2 linked regions of the Nothobranchius furzeri genome follow. The protein of the gene in region 2 purifies or fractionates together with the protein of the main gene of each other region. This does not show direct contact. Links are inferred from orthologs where the notes say so. Each region holds a gene or a part of one and is shown on either strand. Other genes may lie near its edges.

Region 1 (3,822 bases), on a different chromosome or scaffold from region 2:
GGGAGGATGAAGATGGCCCGCTGTCGGCTGAAGTGCCCCCTGACCCTGAGCCAGCCTGGGAGGGTGGAGGCGGGGCCCGCTCCACAAGATGGATCACCTTTCCGCCCACATCTGCAAAAACACCAGAACATTTTCAGTTTAAGTGTCTGGAAAAGCAGAACACCAGGGGAAATTAACCATTAAAGTATTGAAATCATAAAATTGTTCATGGATTAAAACAGCAGCTAAATATCTCCAGTCAGCTGGTTTTTCACTAGTTGTTCACTGGACTCCAGCTTTAGGCGACAAGTCAGAGATGCACAATCAGCTAAAATGAGCTAATTAAACACAGAAAGGGTAGGTGTGACAGCTTTGCAAAGAGTTTTGATTACAGCCAAGACACAAGAATTTCAACTGAGCGTTTTGCTAAGGATTCCATGCAGTTTAGTAACAGTGAGTCTTAATTGTGTCCCCCATGTCAGGGCTGTCGCGGTTGAGGAATTCCTCCTGCGGTGATTCAGGGTGGCTTAATATTGCGGTGTGCGATATTATTGCAGCCCTTTTTTTTTTATTGCAGTACTATCTAAACATAATGTTTACACATTTAAAAAAGGTTAAAAATTGCCATGCCTTCTTTTATAACACTTTACTGAATGCAGATCAAAGGGCAGTAACAACACAGATCGCAGTAACGTTTGTTTCTCCGACAGTCGGAGTCCGACTGAACTTAAAAACAACAAAATTCAGGAGAAGGTTAAACTTTTAAATGCAAATTTGGCTGCAGCATCTAACAAATAAGAAACAAGTCCACATTTTGTTTAGTTGTTTAAAATCAAGCATAAAAAAATTACATGTACCGGGCGCGCGCGCGCCAGGGGGGTGGGGGGTGGGCGCACTATCATTTCACTTTCACACACACGAATGACGGTGATTTATAGCTCGGTAACGTCCTTGTTACCCACAAGCAAAACCAGCATGTTAACCATATACGGTTTGAGAGAGGATCTGAGAGGGGTGGCAACATTTCCAGCAACACTGAAAACCCTCTCGGATGGTGCGCTCGTTGCACTAACGCACACGTACTTGCGTGCGACTCTGGCGAGCAAAGGGAATCTCTCCCGGTTGTTGCTCCACCATGTCAGGGGGGTTTCTTTAGGGTGGATGCGTTCCTCCTGCAGGTAGCGAGTGAGCTCCAGCTCGGCTCAAACTCTCTTCAGGACGGTTGCAGAAGCAGTGCTTGTCTGGGACTTCAGCAGGTCTCCCAGCGTTTATTATTATTTTTTGCCGCTGGTGGCAGCTCTGTCTCGGCCAAGGACTCTGGCTGCGCAGCAGCTGACGTACTGAAAACCAAAGTGCTCCCAAAGGAGCGAAGTTGATACCAGTGCAGCCATCCTTCTCAACATGCATCACTGAGTTGAACCAAGTTCAGTAATCGCGGTGGCCCATGATGCAGCGCGGTGGGTTTCTTCATATTGCGATATTTCATTTTTGCGGTTACTGCGACAGCCCTACCCCATGTCCCACTTTAATTCCAATTTGGTTACCAACTCCTGTACAGAGCTGTCTGTCATCTTCTGATGCACACAAATGAAGTAGAAAACAACTGAGATGGTTTTGGTTTGAGGTGAGATACTTGTGTGAACTCTGATTTGCTCATTTTTCCTCATTTTCAAGCATCTCAGCAGGAAATCTCCTCAGGAAATTTAGATTCCTGATGAATATTCGGAGACATTTTAAAAACTCTTTCATGGATCTTGTTTGCAACTTGTCTCCCACAGTTGCAGCCCAGTGAGACAAATGTAATTAACCCACTCATAGTAATCACATCAACATAAATATCAGCATGAAACATATCACTAAGAATAACCCAAAAATTTTGATTTCTGTCTGTATAAAGGGATAAAATTATCTCCTGAGCTAAAGCTGAATGGAGTCAAAAGGTTTACTGTAATCTGCCAGCGTCCGTTCATCCTGCAGCACTCTGCCTTGGTAGATGAGTCTTTGTTTATCTACAGGGATGCCAACTGAGGGGGCAATGTGCTCCTTGAACTCTTTCACCGTCAGCTGCAAAATGATAGAACAAAATGTGTGAGTTTATCTCTTTTTAAGTGCCCAAGTACAGAAACATCATTCAAATAGAGCTGTGCTGCACCAGATTACAGCTAAACATCAGCTGAAGTCTTGACTGCAACACAATCATTACATCATGAGCTACAATAAGATACACAGACAAAATTATGAACCTCTGAGTAAAAGTGAAGCAGCAACTTTGCCGTTACCTGAGAACCAACCGTGTACGTTCTGCTCCGGGAGTCGAGTGTTTTCACCGTCACTTCTATGTCAGACGTTTGTTCTGCCATGGTGATCCTGCTTTAAAAATAAAAAGTTTATGTGAAATAGACTTCTAACGATTCCCTCGGACTGGTTACAGGACAAGTCAAAGATTTAATTTTATTAGTGAGTCAATTCTAATCTAATTCAATTAGTCAAAGTGGATGGACACACAGAATATGTCCAGTAGGGCTGCAACAAACGATTATTTGGATAATCGATTAATCGGATGGGGTCTCGACACGATTAATCGATTAATCGGATTACATGGGGAAATTTTTAAAAACTGCTAGGGAAACGTTATTTCTCTCCTTCCTTCACTTTATTTAACACAACATTATTAGAAAACAGTTCAATAGCAGAAAAACAACATGCCATCACCTAAATTGTCTTATAAGGTGTATAGACAGAGACCCTAAGCTACATCTATCTGTGACCTAAAATGCTTGGTCCAAGTTAAACAGCTTAAGGGCAATTCTCATCTGTTTTGTTTGATCTCATCTGTTGACATTTATTTTAAATGTAATTAAACATAGGCTGTGAATTAATCAAAATTGATCACTATTTCCAAAAATGACTGAAAAAATACCAAATAAAACAAAAGTAAATGAATGCCATCCTCCTTGCGATGATGCCCTGGGCAACTGCCATAAAGTCACATCAAGAAATGCTGCTGATCATTCCAATGATCCCAAATAGACTCACATTAGGCCACATGAAAGCAACTGAACCCAAAAATATATTAACCAGTATATAACTGCACTCTCACACAACACGCCTGCAGCAACAGTTAGGACTCCTCCCTCCCTTTTAAAAGCGTTTTTGCTTCTGAGGACATTGTGGTTGTAAAACCACACGCTAGTAGTCTGGCCCCGGTGTGATCAACCAGTTTCTGCGGGAATGTGACGGCGGAACCAGGGCCAGATTAACACTTTGTTGTACCCTGGGCAACAATATTCAAGGGCTCCATCATCACGACCCAAGGATCACCATAATGTGGTCACATACAGAATATTTTACTGTAATATGCAGTAAATATACTCAATACTTGAATGCCTGACAACACGTAACCCGCCCAGAGTAACCTTTGACCCACCTCGTGTGGACTGACCAATGAGGAGAGGGTCTTAACTTGAGGCCCTCTCTTCATTGGTTAGTCTGCATGAGACTGACTCTCAACTGACGTTCAGTCATAGGCAGCGAAGCGTCTCTGTGCAGTGCAAAAGCCCGGGTGGACAGTTTAATGTAGGGTGATCATATCTCCATTTCCAAACAAGAGGACAGGGGATCTGTGCCTATGACGTCACACTATGGCAACGCCACACAAACCATGTTGGGACCCATTTTTTGTAAGAACTAAATTAATATCAGATTCTGCCAATTAAAGGGCTCTAAAACAATTCATATGTAAATATTTTGCATATTTACTGCAAAATCTAATTTTTCTGCTTTAGTGCTGCAACAAGGTTTTATTAATAATAAATTATTATACCTTTTGTTTTACTACAGCAT
Region 2 (4,617 bases):
AACAGTAAAGAAAATCTCAAGGCTCAATGCAAAACGTACCTCTTTGACATGTCGTTTGAGGTGCATGTAAACACTCTGTCCTGTTTTGCGATAATGTCTCTCCACGTGTTCCCGTCCAAAGCCCAGGAATGTGTTCATGCACACATACAGGCCTCCCTCAGACTCCTGCAGAGCAAAACATTGTCAGGTGAGGAACTACAAGCACATGTGAAAAACTTTATATATTCCACATGGGAGCTTTTTCTTGCTGAGCAAAACAAAATGTACAAAGTGTATGAACTTATCAGTAGAGGAGGCTGCTTTATAAAAGATGGATGTATTTAAGATATCAGGTCACTTTTATTTTTATTTGTTCAAAACAAGAAAGAGAAATAATTATTTTCGGCATTAATGCAATTGAATGAGAATTTAAAATTGAGCAAAAACACTTTCCAGCTCAGTCATTTGGGAAAGATGTCCCAGCATGTTCACGTTAATCTGCAACAGAAGATCATTTTTACTGAGAAATCTAAAAAATGTGTCTCCTTTTACAGAACAACCAAGTTTAGCTAACATATATTACTCTCTCTCTCTCTCTGATCTTCTGTTTCACCTCAGAAGTTTTTAAGCTGTTAATTTTAACGAGAGAAGATCGTAATCAAAGAAGCAACTTCAGAAATTCATCCCACATATTATGCATTTTTATTTTAGGATCACTGAGGATCAGAAAGACACATTTATTAATTAAAATCCCTCTGTGAGTAGTTTACATCTCTCATGAATTACTGTGGAGCACCGTATAACTTCTCTGCCTCCGAGGGAAAGGGAAAACATCCTCCAGGTTTCACATGAGGACAAAATAACAGGAAAGCATCCCTTAAACCTGAAATCAGTATAGTGGGCGTCATCAACCCCAGTGTTAAACCTTTAAGCCCAGAGTGACATATGAGCCTCAACACTGGGAGGATAAAAATAAACCAGTCCGCAGGCCAACATGATGAACTCCAGACAGCTGAGTCACCTTTTAAAACGGTTACAGTCCAGATAATAGTGGAGGAAAGCTTTGAGAGCAAAATTTGTTACTTTTAAAGCACAAAAAATCTAACAAACCTAGAACAATGCTGCACATTCATACAATTCCAGTCTAATTCAAATGTTAGGTAACTACCTTCCTAATTACAGAAAGGGAACTGGTAAAATGTTAAATGGTCTGTATTTGATATACAACCCCCCCCCCCCCCCCCCCCCCAAGGTGCTTCACAACAAAATCGGCCACACACACACACACACACTCACACGCTGGTGATGACGAGCTACAGTTTAGCCACAGCTTCCCTGAGGCGCACTGATGGAAGCGAGGCTGCTGAACACAGGTGCCACCGGTCCCTCTGACCACCACCAGCTGGTACGGTAAGTGTCTTGCCCAAAGACACGAATGTGACAGACTGAGTGAGACACGATCCCACAACCTTCCAGTTATGACACCACACGGGCACCTAACTTCTCTGCTGCCATCGTTCCAAAAAAGGATTGGGTGCCAAAATATGCAAAATTTGGTCAGGAATAAAATCGAACTGATAACATAATTACAGCCCCTGGGGTGATTTTTGGGAATAAGCTGCCATCGTCCACACATGAGGCCATTAAGCACTGACACTAACACAAGGGAGCCTGAACAACCAGATTAGTCTAGAAATGCCTAAATAAACACTTTATTCTGCAAATGAACACAGCCTGGTGACGTCATTGCTGCAGTGGCGTTATTACATTATCTTAAAATAATGTGTGTGTGTGTGTGTGTGTGTGTGTGTGTGTGTGTGTGTGTGTGTGTACTTGTCCTCGTATGGTCAAGTGGACAAATGTTGACTTTAAACCTATAACTTGTGGACGTTTTCACGTTGTGGGGACATTTCCTTAATCCACACAATGCAGCACCAAGTTTTAGAGGTATGGTGAGTTAACTTTTAGTTTAGGGTTACAAAAAACCACCCATTGGTTAGGGTTAGGCATAGTGGAGTCACTAAATGAATGGAAGTCAATGGAGGTACACACAAACATATAAATACAGGTTCGTAAGTGTGTGTGTGTGTGTGGGGGGGGGGGCACAAAGGAAAACCCCATTAACCCGTTTAACTGTTATATAGACATTTACTGTCAAGTTCACATGACATGTGGCCACACACACACAAACACACACACACACACTCGACAGCGTGTGTTTTCCTGGCTCCCCACAGCAGGCTGTAAGTCATTCTACCTGAGGCACACATTTGCTCCCCAAACAAGCCTCCCAAGCAAGTCTCGGTGTGTGTGTGTGTGTGTGTGTGTGTGTGTGTGTGTGTGTGTGTGTGTGTGTGTGTGTGTGTGTGTGTGTGTGTGTGAGTGAGTGAGTGAGTGAGTGAGTGAGTGAGTGAGTGAGAGAGAGAGAGAGAGAGAGAGAGAGAGAGAGAGAGAGAGAGAGAGAGAGAGAGAGAGAGAGAGAGAGAGAGAGAGAGAAAGGAACCCACTTACGGGAGAGTCGAAGGAAAAGGCACACTCGCTCTTGAAAACCCTGTCTCCGATTTTAGGGACTCTGATGGTGGGCATGTAAGGGACCAGCAGCTCTCCCAGGTCTGCAGCCATCTTCGCATTCCTGCTTCTCCCAGCAGAGTGCCGCGGAGCCTCCGGAGCAGCGCTGTCACAGGAGCGGATGCTATTTTTAAAGCGCCCCGTCGCTACATTCCTGCAGCCAGGGAACGTGACGCTGAAAACCCCTACAGATAAAATGACAGAGCGGAGGGTGGCTGCTGCCTGGGCGACGACGTTAAGGGCACGGAGGTCGGTCCTCCTTTTGTTGTTGTTTTTTCTAATCGGAGAAACGTGGACCTGCGCAGAGATGACACACCTTCTGTAGCGACGCCGTTATGCTTCTCGAGGAGCCACGCCCACCTCAGAGGCGGATTTAAAGCAGATTTACTACGTTTTGGCCTCCTGCGTTCAGGGTTCAGAGGCGTGTCCAGGTCTTTTAAAATGTGTGTGTGTGTGTGTGTGTGTATGGTGGTGGTGGTGGTGGTGGGGGGGGGGGGGTTCCAGGTGGGGCACTTGTTTCACACAGGTTTCACATGAGCTCCACATTCTCTCTCCTCCTCTTCCTAGCAAGTCACTTCTTGGTTCATTACTGCCACCAACTGGAGTGAAGTGGGACTGAGTGAAAGTGAAAAAATTATGAATAATGATAATATTGAAACGTTCTGTGGCCCTGGAGCTAGAAACCAATGTTAAAGCTGCATTTACCTAAACCGTTTATTTTCTTATTTTTAACTCAAATTTGTAATCTTTCATCTGTTTATGAAATTTTATAATTTATGACTTCATTTTTTATGTTAATCTATTTCTGTTTTGAAATCGTTATGATTTTATGACTTTGTTTTGATCTATGAGAAGCACTTTGTGATTCCATGTCTGTGATAAGTGCTATATAAATAAACTATACTTAAAGGTACGTGTTACCACCAACTGTTTTAAAAAAAAACTTTTATCTGAATTTTTATCTCGTCTTTTATTTTATTAATACTGTACAGCACATTGGTCAGCTGGCATGCTGTTTTTAAATGTGCTTTATGAATAAACATGGTATGGTATGTTTTGGGGTTTTTAAACCCCAGGCCTTTGTGAACAGCATAAAATCAATTTCATGGACCTCAGTGGGGTGGCACCTGGAGTACATGTGCTACCCCAAGTCACTCCCTAGACACACCTCTGCCTGTACTCATGAAATGCCAGCTCATTTCAATTTTTTAAAGACTGCATTGTTCAGTGATTAAAAATACTGATATCTCTGCATTCCGCTGGATTTCTTAATATTTTAAAACATTAAATAATTTTACACAACAAAGATTTGCATTCTGATTTGTCCCATCACACCTGAATGAATTAATTTGTCCAACTGACAGCTGTCACCTAAATATGTTTGGATTTTTAAAGTGAATTAAATAAATGATGTCGTTTTATTTAGTTCTGATTCTGTTGAGAATTTTCACTTAGAATGTGATTTTCATAAATCACATTACACTTTAAAATGTATAAACCCTATGTAGAAAGAAAGAACGTTCACAGGGGAAATTTGGATCTAAATAAAATATAAAATCAGTCTGTTCACCCAGTTTTAGATATTCCAATTTCAAGAATCAAAGATTAAATTAAAACAGCTAACTCTTTGGATATTTTCTCCTTGGCGGTGTGATCTGTGTAAGCCCAAACTCCTGAATGTTTATTCTTATGACCATTTCCAAGTATCACATTATCAAATTACATCAAGTCAGGCTGGGTCCTTTTTCAGCCAACTGAAAATAAACTAGGTGACAAGTTGACACCTACACAGGTGTACTTTTGAGTGAAAACCCCTTACTATAAAAACATTTACACTGTTCCCTTTATCTAAATTACAATTGTTTAAATTAGTGTGACAACAAATGTAAAATCCATTTAAACAGTAAATCACACAAGAACTCCAGAGATGCCCGAGACACCATTGTTTTAAATTCTGCTGCTCCTATCCAGGTGAACATTTCCCCATTTAAAACTAGTAAACAAGCTTTCAAACTAAACGTTAGACCACTTAGATACTTTATTTATGGAAGCGAGGGCAAATTTACAAAG

The links.
Region 1: the proteins of usp13 (region 2) and bag6 purify together in Homo sapiens (affinity purification with western blotting; 3 studies listed by BioGRID and IntAct, with this or other methods). This does not show direct contact. The link is inferred for Nothobranchius furzeri from reciprocal best matches to the Homo sapiens genes USP13 and BAG6.

What each region holds. Positions count from the first base shown.
Region 1 is NC_091745.1:60,787,765-60,791,586, reverse strand, and holds part of bag6 (large proline-rich protein BAG6), read right to left. Parts: intron 2,350-3,822; 5' UTR 2,340-2,349; coding exon 2,259-2,339; intron 2,044-2,258; coding exon 1,926-2,043; intron 112-1,925; coding exon 1-111. UniProt on the Homo sapiens protein: ATP-independent molecular chaperone preventing the aggregation of misfolded and hydrophobic patches-containing proteins.
Region 2 is NC_091748.1:59,240,945-59,245,561, forward strand, and holds the start of usp13 (ubiquitin carboxyl-terminal hydrolase 13), read right to left. Parts: upstream 2,878-4,617; 5' UTR 2,602-2,877; coding exon 2,491-2,601; intron 166-2,490; coding exon 40-165; intron 1-39. UniProt on the Homo sapiens protein: Deubiquitinase that mediates deubiquitination of target proteins such as BECN1, MITF, SKP2 and USP10 and is involved in various processes such as autophagy, endoplasmic reticulum-associated degradation (ERAD), cell cycle progression or DNA damage response.